Drosophila melanogaster: one gene and its partner. The protein of the gene in region 1 purifies or fractionates together with the protein of each later gene. This does not show direct contact. Each region holds a gene or a part of one and is shown in the gene's direction. Other genes may lie near its edges.

Evidence for each region.
Region 2: the proteins of Myo31DF (region 1) and SMC5 purify together in Drosophila melanogaster (affinity purification with western blotting, with the first as the bait; one study listed by BioGRID). This does not show direct contact.

What each region holds. Positions count from the first base shown.
Region 1 is NT_033779.5:10,503,767-10,509,055, reverse strand, and holds the start of Myo31DF (myosin 31DF), read left to right. Parts: upstream 1-2,276; 5' UTR 2,277-3,041; coding exon 3,042-3,130; intron 3,131-5,289. Other genes in the region: CG7384 (uncharacterized protein), read left to right, coding at 1-786, 844-969; CG6094 (uncharacterized protein), read right to left, coding at 1,188-1,637, 1,701-1,862. UniProt on the Drosophila melanogaster protein: Unconventional myosin that functions as actin-based motor protein with ATPase activity. Binds to membranes enriched in phosphatidylinositol 4-5-bisphosphate, and can glide along actin filaments when anchored to a lipid bilayer.
Region 2 is NT_037436.4:21,567,349-21,574,311, forward strand, and holds SMC5 (structural maintenance of chromosomes 5), read left to right. Parts: upstream 1-1,903; 5' UTR 1,904-2,030; coding exon 2,031-2,104; intron 2,105-2,172; coding exon 2,173-2,545; intron 2,546-2,608; coding exon 2,609-2,787; intron 2,788-2,908; coding exon 2,909-3,155; intron 3,156-3,207; coding exon 3,208-3,306; intron 3,307-3,371; coding exon 3,372-3,659; intron 3,660-3,713; coding exon 3,714-3,815; intron 3,816-3,873; coding exon 3,874-4,082; intron 4,083-4,141; coding exon 4,142-4,305; intron 4,306-4,383; coding exon 4,384-4,713; intron 4,714-4,768; coding exon 4,769-4,986; intron 4,987-5,042; coding exon 5,043-5,267; intron 5,268-5,337; coding exon 5,338-5,562; intron 5,563-5,627; coding exon 5,628-5,785; intron 5,786-5,841; coding exon 5,842-5,959; intron 5,960-6,019; coding exon 6,020-6,115; 3' UTR 6,116-6,175; downstream 6,176-6,963. Other genes in the region: CG7634 (uncharacterized protein), read left to right, coding at 1-31, 96-379; CRIF (CR6-interacting factor), read right to left, coding at 787-1,485.

The sequences.
Region 1 (5,289 bases):
ATTGGTGAGGGACTGACGGAGGAGATGCTATCCCGCTGCGATCTGCACTCCCTCGTCGTTGGGGTATTCACGGCCATACCGTCGGGAGCGGCGGCTGCCATCGGAATCCTGGGCGGGAATATTGGTTCTCTGGTTGGCGTGGCCATATCGGCATCGCTGCTACCGCCTGCGGTTAACTCCGGTCTGCTGTGGGCGGTGGCCTGCATTTACAAGATATTCGAGAACGACGATTCGCTCTACGTGGATGTGATTAAATCGCGCCGCTACTCGGACAACCAGGCCACTGAATTGGCCGTGCTCGGCGGCATCAGCATGTGCCTAACTTTGTCCAACGTTCTGTGCGTCTATCTCATGGGCATCCTGGTGCTGAAGGTAAAGGAGATTGCCCCGGTGATTGGGCGCAAAAACCGACAGTTCTGGAAGCACGACATAAAGCTGGCGCGTAATGGCAAAGTGGAAACGGAGTCGGAGATACTCAACGAGCTAATAGCCAATCTGGCCACCGAAGACAAGCACGCACTGGGCTCCATCAATCGTCAGTTCCTGCGCCATCTGGACGAATCAAACTACCAGCACACTTGGTCGCCGCTCAGCAACCGACATAGTTTCTCAATGCCACAACCGCCTGGCGCCGGCATCTCCACCATCCATCGCCTGGAACAATTGTATGCGTCGAGAATAGGGTTTAATCCACCAGCAGTAGAACGACGCCAACGCCACAGCGTAGTAAGCAGACCATCGCAACGGAGCCACGAGGTCTCCGTTCAGCTGAGTCCTCCACAGCCAGTAAGTAGCACACAAAGCTGTCTTGTCTATCCCGAGTGCTCATTTCGTGTATTCCAGCGTCCACGATTCGCGAGCATGCCATCGCAAGTGGGAAAGGACGAGCCAGCTAGGGATGCGGCCATCCAAGTCGCGAGCTCCAAGAGATTTACGGTAACACCAGCTCGAGTGGACGAGCAGACCTAGAATGTTGTCAAGTCCATTTGGGTTTCCACTCTCACAGATCTTTGTATAATATTTAAATAATGTAAGTGTCAATTTTGTAAAGTTAATTAGTTGTTATACTCCAGCAGGGGGTATGTCCGTACAGAATCTGTGATAGTGCTAACCTGCAATGGCGTCCATAGCATAGTTAAGCGTATATGTGTAATGTGCATCTTTGTATAACAATTTCCAATAAAAAACTACAAGTCTAATCCGCTCGGTCCCTGCCGATCCGCTTTGACTTGGGCGCGACCACGTTTCAGTTGTAGACGTTCGCGGACCGCTCGCTCCTGGCGCCTGCGCAGCTTCTCCAGTGTCTCCTCGCTGGGTGGCGCAGGTGCCACAGCCTCCTGGGAGCGTATGATGGTGCGCAGCTTCTCCAGCGCATCGGCCAGGTTCATTTGCTGGGAGCGCGTAAGATCACTCTTGATGTAAAAGTAGCCGTCTTTGGTAATCCGGTTTGCCAGCACCTTGAGCAGCTTCTGGCGCGTCTGCTCGGGTATCCAGTCCGCTTGTGCCACCTTGAAGCGTACATCCACCTTGGTATTCACCGTGTTCACGTGCTGACCACCGGGTCCGGAGCTCCTGCTGTAGGTGATCTCCAGTCGGTCCATGGGAATGAAGCCGCTGAACTTGTCGCTGCCACTGGGCTGGGTGGGGGATGTATACATATATCAATAGATGGGATCCCTGAAGGCACTGCATCCACTTACCGGCGGGGGCGGCGTGTAGATTTGCAGTCGGGCGCCGGGATAGATCTTGTCCAGGGATAAATCGCTCTTGTAGGAGAGCTGACGACCCAGAAGGTTGCCTGTGCCGCCTGAGGAGCTGCTCTGGCGCAGAACTCTTATGAAGGCACTCGTAATTTTATTCATTTTATGCCAAAATTTCAATGAGTTAAGCTAAATTAAATGTTACGAGAACGACGTTTGTGTTCACCACAGAACAGCTGTTCGAGGTGAGTTGCGTGCAGTGTGACCGAACTTAGCTAAGCGCGACAATTCAAAACTCCCAAATCGAAAGCTTGTTTTATCTTTTATGTAACCGTGTTTTCTTTATTGTTAATCCTAAAAAACAATCTTTAATCTTAAAACAAGGGAAAACGATACTTTGTACGCCATACTCTGTAACTTTTCCACTGTCACAAGCATAAGGCAGTGTGGAAAGTGCATTAGGTAAGTCCTCTGGTTGAAGTGCGCACTAGCCAAGTTCCAAGCCATTAGTGGAGTGCCAATTTAGGCAATTTTCAGCTTCGTATGGCGAACATTTTCGTATTCGAAATGTCTGACCACAGTCCCTCTGCAACTTTCATTGAATGCGGTCGAGTGCGGTTGTGCGACGGCCGATTGTTGTTATTAATCCGCCGCAAACGAAACTGAATCCAGGTGGGCACTCACACCGATCTTCCGGACTATATTGCACCGACCTTAAATATATACACGTATATCAAAGACTGGAGAACCCAAAAACTAAATGTTTACAACGTGCGGCAAACGCGAAATTTGCGGTTTTCATTAAACAGTGAGGTAGATAGTGGTTGCGATCGAGTTCTCGTTATATTTATATTTCTGCTTTCGATCTTGTTCTTGTTTTTTTTTTCTCCTGCTCGATTCCAATTGGAAGCGTTCGATCGGTCCAGAAATCCAGAATTATTCTTTATTGATCGCTGTGACTGCGTGTTCGCCGAGAATTATTCGTCGTCATCAACAGAAGCGGCCCGAATTGGCTCATAAAACATAAAAATCGCTTGGCAGCAGCCACACGGAATATATATATATATACATATGTATAAATTTATTTATATTTGTACGCATATATAGTTAAAATTCGAGACGAGACGCGAAAGGCGAGGCAAACAAAACAAGCAAATAAAAACGTAACAAAACAAAAACGAAGTGAACAGCGTGTTTTTCGGGATACTCCTTTCGTTCTTACCTGAGTTTTCGACTCTCACCTTTGCAGCCGGCAATTAGCATCCCCCCCTTCGATCCCCGGAATACCGCACCCTCCGCTCGCGAGTTAAACTCTAATAAACGCAGGATCAAAAGGACACCATGGCTATGCAACGGGAAGCTGGAGTGCAGGACTTCGTCCTCCTCGACCAAGTGTCCATGGAGAAGTTCATGGATAACCTGAGAAAGCGGTAAGTTTGCCTCTAAATTATTTAAGAATTACAAGCTAAGCTAGAATTTTTAATAATAACAAAAGACAGAGAGATTACTTTTACCTTTACCGTATCTATTGATTCCTCCGTTGGCCTTGTCCTCCGCCAACTTGTCCATCTCCACTCCACATCACAAACGACTCCCCCCGCGAACTCCGCGCCTTTGGGAAAACCACTTTTCCTCCAGTCGATGGTCTAGTTCAAGGCTTCTGTTTTGATCGATTAGCGAGCGGAAAAACTGGTTTGACCGTAGTTCTTGGCTTTTCCGCCTTGATTAAACTGGATTTGCTTATCGGCGTTTCAATTAAAGCCGACCTTATCTCCCTCATTTAACCCCTTCCCGCCGAGTTTTCGGTTCCACTCCAGAGGGCACTCAATGGACCCATTTACGTGCTCATTTGGAGTGCTAAACTCTCCTTTTTGTGGCATGACTTTCGGTTTTAAATGCATTCATTAGTGGCATTTCAATTCAATTTGGTAGTTGAACGGAAAGTGGTAATAGATTTGATGGAAAAGGAGAGAAATTCTTAAGAAATATGATATATTTAGCTTAATTAAAGGTTTTTTAAAGTTGGTTACAAACAAAAAATGTGACTACAAACTGCATGAATAAATATTATAAAATGATTGAGAATCAAGCTAACATGTTCAAATCTTTCTGCTTTTTGTAGTTTAAAATAGTAGTTATCAAGTAGCAGATGTATCTGTAAATCATCCAGCTACCATTATCTAAGTTAAATATTTAAGAGAGTGAAATCCATGTCACATTCCCACTCCGGGGACCAACCGCCCAATCGCGTGTCAATATTTGTGTGGCCGGCACTGTGGTTCCAGGTGGTTACCTACATGACCATTATGTAAAGTTCCTTAACCCACCGACAACCACGCAGCCACAACCCACATATATCATTTCATTTTATTTCATTTCGGTCCGAGTGTCAACAACTTGTTGCAACCGCTTCCTTTGCACTTGGAGCACGAATGGATTCCCCATCCATTTTCATACCGGGTCGCTGGTTTGCTGCATGGCTGGCTAACTTTCATGTGGAAATGATCGTTATCCGGAAAAGTTCTCGCCACCACATACATTTTGTTCAACTGATTGGCAGAGCATTGCAAAATTGTAGAAATTCGGGGTTTTGGTAACAAGTCTGCTGTTTGATAATTAAATGATTATTTTTCCAAATATTTTGCAATGTCTATAAATAAATGGTGTTACGATTCCCCGGCACTGATTCATCTAATCTGTTTATGTTTATATTCACTTAATTGCTAAAAGACTCTCGGACGATTCATCACAATAACGATTTGAATGATAAGACAAAAGCTGCAAATGAGTCAAATTGTTCAAATTGCCATCGCAAAAGGAAACGCATTGGAGTAAACCCAGTTGTATTTTGAGCTGGTTAATTACCATGGTTGAGATTAGTGGCTTGCATAAGACTGTAATTAAAGCGGACTTACGGCCAAAGATGCGTTAACCCACTTTGGTGGCTCACAAATCGCTTATCAAAGCATCAGCAAATCAAATTAAGCTGTGTAAATTGAACTAATTACATAATCACAGTCATACCTGCAATAGCAAACACGATTTTCATGTCTTACTGTACGGCATAATCGTAGCATAACTCAAATCAATTTGCTGTTTGTTAATAAATATTTAACAGGAAAGCCGGAAAACTGAAAACCAAACGAGTTGAGAAACTCGCCTCAACAAATTGAGGGTCAAAAACGCGCCAAAAATGGGAGGAAAACGCACACGTAATTGGAAAATGTGCGATGAAGACGTAAAAGAAATAAAACTCACTTTCATTTGGCATCAATCAAATGGGGAAATGAATGCATTTCGCTGCACATATATATATATATATATATATATATATCTAGTTTACTTGTTTGCCACATGACATCACATGTGTACTCATTGTTTGGCAGCTTGAAAATCCTATATTTTATTTAAGCAATATTAAATATATCTGCATGCTCCGTGACTCATGCTGTGTATCTTGCAGATACGCGAGTCAACAATAAGAAAACTGAAATAAAAATGCCATGGCGTAGCCAAAATACGAACCGGTTGATGGCGTCAGTTTGGCCGAGAGAGACTCACCCACAAAATAGAAGAGTGTGTATGTGTT
Region 2 (6,963 bases), on another chromosome or scaffold:
TGCTGTTTTAGTGCCCGAAAGTCTATTGAAGGTTTGGTCCATTAGTGCTATACTATTAAACGGTTATGGAAATACCTATATATCTATCTTTTTAGAGGCAAAAAAATGCAATAGCTACATTTGGCAGTTTCTGTGCTACCTACTGATAATAAAGGCGAATGCTGCACTCCACAAAGTCGAGCGAACCAGTGAAGCTCTAGATCTGGCACTAAAAATTTCCAAGGAATTGAAAGAAAAGCATATTCATAACTTCTTGACTGCCTGTATACACTGTAATGAGGAGGAATTCATCGTGAAGAAGCAGAGCATTTTTGCGAATAGCCGGCGCGAAAGCGAAAAATCGGTGTATAGTTCCCTGTCCGTGCGCCATAGCAATTAGAGCTTTGTATTATTTGTATAACCAAAAATATTGATTAATAAATTCTCAGTGCAATTATAATAGTGTAGTGACCTATTAGATACCTATACTCAAGTACCCCTGCGTATTTGGAATTTGCATTCTTATTATCAACTTGCAAGCTCCTTCATGGCTAGATCGACTCGGCTACTGATCCTCTTTTAAAAATAATGCTTGTGTAACGTATATATTACACAAACATCGGGCTTACTTTTCACTAGTCTAAGCAAATTCTTGTCTTAATTTATAAAAATATAAAATATTTTGCAACACTTTAAAATATTTTATGGGAGTACAGATAATAAGTGCTCTTCTTTTTGCAGTGTTTTTATTTTAGTGTAACATACAACAGTTCTTCGCTTAAATCGATGGTTTTGATACTACAAATATTACACTGATGCTTTCTCTACCAGCTTGGCCATCATCTTCTCCTCCTTGGCCTTTCGCTTGGCCTCCTTCTGCTTCTTCTTGTCCTCCTTCTCTTTTTGCTCTAGCATTTCCTTAAAGCGTTCGTCGCGTGTATCCACCTTGAACCCGAAGTGTCGGCGCACCTCCTCTACCAGGCGTTCCTTGCGTTGTATGGCTGCCGCTGCATCCGCCTCCCGCTTAGCGATCTTCGCGTGCAGGTCCGCCTTCCACTGTGTCAACTTCTCCATCTTCTTCGCAATGTCCTCTTCACGGGCATTTATCCTTGCCAGCTCCTCTGCCTTCTGCGCGCGGTTCTTCTCCAGCATTTTCAGGAGTGTTTCTAGTTGCATAACCTGCCTGCTGTCTTTCTCTCCGTGGGAATCGAAGCAAATCTTGGGATTCACATTGCTCTGGGCCCCATACCGGCCGAATGCCTGTCTCTGGTACTTCTCGGTCAAATGAATCCAGGAGTGAGGTTCCTGGTATGGCAATTTGTTAAGGAGCACATTTTTGTGTTGTGGTTGCAGGCCGGATCTGTCCACCGTCTGGGGATATGTTGGTTCCACATCCACGTCGCCGACCAAGGAAGCCGGCAGTTCCGCTTTCGCAGCGCTCGAGTACTGGGCGCACGAGCGGAGGGCAGGAAGTCTGGTGACAACGCTTATCTTGCCTACATTCATTTTGAATTGTATTGTCTAAGCAAAATAGTTTATTAATTTCCAATAGAGATGAGAGAAAATCGATAGCGATGACACCAATGCTGGCAACTAAACCCTTTTGGAGCTAAATTCAGATATTTTTTAGGCCCCGTCAGAAAGATAAGTAATAGATATTAATTGTTGTGACAGTCTGGCTGCATCCCAGCTCAAGCTCTATATATTTCTTTTTTCCTTGCTATTTATTTCTATCAATTTGTAATTATCGTTTCCACGATTTGTTACTGACATTTTACTTGTCAGTTTTTATTCCGAAAATAGATTTCTGAGGCTTAAAATTATCATTTTTATGTTGTCAGCTCAAAATATAAAAGAAACATAAATTGATTATACATACGGGCGGCGCACAAGTGTACCCTTAATATACCAATCGTTATCGACAACAATGGTACGTGCACATATGCCCTAATGCAAAACTAAATTCTTGAAAGCGCGGAATTGCATTTAAAACAACTCGTTTTACTTAAGTTGAAATAAGCATTTGCTCGGATAAAAGCCTACGCCACGACATGGCGGGGGATCGTGCCTTAAGTTCCAAGCAATTGGCGGGGCGCATACATTCCGTGTACTGCAAAGATTTCGTGTAGGTTTATTTCCATCAAAGGCGCAAATTGACAATTTCGCGGCTCATTTGATTATTTCCAACAACAGATCCTACAGCGAGATCACATTCCATCCGAAGCACTACCTGAACGTTCTGACCGGTCCCAATGGCAGTGGCAAGTCCACCATCGTGTCGGCCATAATTTTGGGCCTCGGAGGGGAACCGATTCTCCTTGATCGCTCCGCCAGCGTTGCCGACTACATACAGAGCAACAAAACCTCGGCCACCATAATTGTCCGGGTGTATGGACGCACGCCCAACACCACGGAAACCTTTCGGCGCATAATAAACTCTAATGGCTTGTCTACCTTCTCTGTGAACGACAAAGACACCTCCAAGAAGAACTTTTTGGCTGCTGTATCCTCCTTTAACATACAAGTCAGCAATTTGTGTCAGTTCCTCCCGCAGGATCGGGTTCAGGTATGTCGTTATGTTGGCAATTCATAAATTACACACCTATTTATTGTAAACATACTGTTTCAGGACTTCTCCAAGATGAATCCTCAAGAGCTTTTGCTCAACACAATGTCCTCCGTGTGTGACGAAGACCTGATCAACAGCTTCAACAGTCTAAAGCAAATGCGCACAGAACAGGCGAATGTCCATGCTAATCGGGAAAAAGAGAAAAGTGATCTGGTTAAGAAGCAAAAACGATTGGAACAGTAAGATATAGTTACCCGAGCTTATTTTTATTCACTAAGTAAAATGTAACCAAATGTGTGGATGAAGTACAAAATTTTAATTCTTACTAAAAACCTAATTGTCTTAATATCATTTTATTAGCTTACAAATGACTGTGTCCCAATATAAAGAACGCGAAGAGGTCAAGCAAAAGCTGCAGGTGTACAGTGCGAAGAAATTGTGGGTTGAGACTCAGGCTGGAGAAGCCAAGGCCGCAGAAATGAAAACTCAAGTGAAAAACGCAAAAACTCAGAGCGACAAATTGAAGAACCAACATGACAAACTTCTTCAATCCCAAGAACAAATTGAGAAGGAAAAAGAATCACTCAGAAAGGCCTTATTGGAAAAGGTAATGGGTGGCAGTGTTTTTTAATATATTTTTTAAAAATAAGTTTTTTTAGACACGCTTATTAGAAAACGCTGTAGCGGAGAAGGCGGCTATTGATGGTAAAATGGACTCTTTGAAGCAAGGAATTTACCAAAAAAAATATGAACTGGAGGTTGGTGTTCTTGTTGCATATATCGATCATGTGAATAACTCTTAATCTTACATTCTGTCACATAGCAAAACATTAAAAAATCACGAAGAACGGCCACAGAGTGTGATAACCTAAATCAGTTGGTGGAGAATAAAATTTACGAGCTTGAAACCCTAAATAAGAGCAGGCCTCTGATCGTTTCGGAACTTGAAAGGGCTAAGGAATCGTGCGCAGCTGCCCGCGGGAAAGCAATGGAGCAGTACAGCAGACGGAGACAACTGGAACAAAAACTGAATGATGAAATGATTCCTGAAATTACTGCGTATAAACTTAAAATAGAGCGGTTGAGAAACGTCAAAATGCAAAAGATTGATGTAAGTTCTTACTGAAATAATGAAAACTCAACTTAACGCTACCTTTCATTTTAGGAAATTAGAGCAAAAAATCCGAATTTGGTTGTGGCCATGAACTGGTTGGCGCAAAATAAGCAAAGGTACAAATTGAACGTTTATGACCCAATGATACTTGAGGTGAGCTTTTCAAAATGAAGCCATTACCAATGGCCTAATGTTAAAACCGCTATCATAGCTTACAGTACAAAATCATGAGGACGCAAAGTTTTTGGAAAACGTTGTGGCGCAGCGCGATTTATTTGCATTTGCGTGTGAGGACAAGGGGGATATGTCGGACCTGATCAACGAGTTGTGTGTGAAGCAAAAATTGGGAGTTAACGTTATTTACTGCGCACCATCCGATAGACTCGTGTACAGTCCCAAAACTCCCATCGATGATCTGCGGTATGCACTTGTCAATTGTCCAATACTAGTCCAATACCTAGTTTTAAATACTTTTACAGCTCTTTCGGATTTCGGTCATACCTCGTGGATCTTGTCACGGGACCAATACCACTAATAAACAAGCTGTGCGCTTCCTATTCCATTCATAATATACCAATTGGCACAGAAGCTGTGGGCAATTACACTTCATCCATTCCAAAAGCTATCCGAGTTTATTTCGGCGGTGTGTATATTTTTCTTATTCGGTTTCGCTTCGCAAATGTATAAATTCTGATTTTGAATTCCGTACTGTGCATTTTAGGCAGCAAGAAGTTCGTTGTGACCGCATCCCGCTATCGGTCGGATACTATTCTAACTGAAAGTAGCATTCGAGCGAAGAACCAACTTATTACAGTGGACTCACAACAACTGGCCCTGGTGATGAAACAGTGCTCCGAAGCAGTGAAGGAAAGCGACAGCATTAAAAACGCAATAACCCAGACCGACAATGAATTTGAACGATTGCAAGCTGTTGCAAAGGATGAGCAAGAGAAGAGACGAAAGCTTGACCAAAAAATAGCCCATTTTAATAGCCTGAAAACCGAAATTGAAACGCTCCAAAAGAAGCTGGAAGCCCTGCGCAATAGCGATTGTAAGTATTTCTTAGTGCACTAAATATTCAGCCATTATGAACCGTGTTTTTTCAGCGCTAGACTGTCTTGAAACCAATTTTTGTAACAGTTTGCATAAAGACTTAAAAAAAATATTCGATGCTGATGCGGAATTGTGCTCGTGCTTGAAAGCTATTGACCGACTTATAATTGAAAAGAATATGGCCCAGACAAAGGTATCCATTTATATGCTGCAACATGAGACTCAAATTGAAGCCCTCAAGGAAAGCGAGGAACAGAGTAAAGCAGCAACCGTAAGGAAATCGAAATGCACTTAAGGAATTTATTTATAGGAATGTTTTGCTTGCAGAGAGACTTCCAACAGTTGCTGCAGTGCTTAGAAAATCAAATTAGCGACGTTAACAAACGAAAGAGCGCTATTCAGGGCCTTTGCCACGGAGAAATTCCAACCAGTAGCAAATTTCCTTTTAAGAAGGAATTTAGGGAGCTGGAAAATATAGATTTGCCCGAACTACGAGAGGCAATACATGACTTTCAGGCACGATTGGAGTGCATGAAAAGTGTAAACTCCGAGGTAAAACACTCTTTTAAATTAGTGAACTGAAGCTGATATATCTAATAACTTTCCATATTAAAATATGCAGGCCATCAGCAGCTATCAAGGACTGCAAAATGAAGTCAAGCAACTGGAGGAAGGAATTCAAGAGTCTGTTAACCAAGCAAAGAGCATCGAGTCTGGCATGTCCAATTTATACGACAAATGGGAGCCCAAACTTAATAGCTTGGTAGAAACAATCAGTACCAAGTTCAGCGAATTTATGGAGTCCATTGAATACGTGGGAGAAGTTGTGTTATCCAAAACCGACAAAGTGAGAACTTAAACTGTCCTACATAAAAACTTTACTTCAAATGTATTTCACTTTATTAATTCTAGTATGACTTTGACTCATATGGTATTCAGATAATGGTCCAGTTCAGGAGAGGTCTCCAGCTGCAGCCGCTGGACAAGTTTATTCAATCTGGTGGCGAACGCGCAGTGTCCATCGCCATATACTCATTGTCCTTGCAACATGTCACCCACGTGCCATTCAGGTGATTGCGGAACCCAGCTGCAAACTGACGCCCGATTTATAGTTCTCCATTTCTAGGTGTGTCGATGAAATAAATCAAGGCATGGACGCTACAAATGAACGTCACATATTCGACTTGCTCCTCAAAGAAGCCACCAAGCACGGCTCGGCTCAGTATTTATTTGTAACACCTAAGGTAAATATAAATGCTTATTCATTTAAATATTTAGTTAACTGTTTTAAATCTTCTTTGTAGTTGCTTCGAGACCTGAACTACAACGAACATCTCTGTGTTTCCATTGTTCACAACTCAAAAACTGTTTGCCATGGCATGCAATTCCCGATGGCTTAGACACTTTGGGTCATCCAGATTTACTATATGTATTTTTTTATATTAAACACTACAAAACATATCTATTGCATTTTGTCGAATGACCAGCCTTGTGGGGACTCCTTTTCGAACTGTTGGCCTACTCGGAATAAAATCTGTAAGCCGGTAAACAAGTCCAAAGGCAATGATGCCTGACGATTTGTTTTATCAGATTTCAATTTGTCCTCGATTTAAAACCCTACAACAGCACCTATATCTTATTTCATATGTGAAATGATTTTAACACTACAATGCGAATACTTTTAAGTAAAGAGATGCCTTTGTACATATGTTTTTTAAGTAATTGGATAAACTATTTTGGGATGTTAAAAAATATATTTATATTTATATATATATTTATATATATTTAGATATGCAATTTAATGCAAATCATTTCTTTACAGGGTTAATATTAAGCAAAGTATGTCAAAAGTATGATCCCTCGACGCAAACTATAAAAGTTCAGGTTAACTTCAGATAGATGGTTAGTTTTTTATCAGCTCCAAAGAAGTCGGGTTTTGATCGCAATCCGTGTGTGCCCTTATTATGGTTGGGATTTTTTAGATCAGCAGTTATTGCTATATAGCCATATTTATAAATCTTCTACTGGCCTACTAAGTCCCAACATAATGAGAGTAAAAACCACAGGTTCGACGTTCATGTGAAGATTAGAAAAATACAGACAAATATATTTCATAGTTCAAAAAAAGTTTTTAATGTCTATTTTAACAACTTTTGAGTACTCCAGATAGAGAAGCGCACAGATATTTAATATGATTGCAACGAACAGAATGGTGAGTTTCATAAAAGGGGTGTGTACAAGTTTTGAA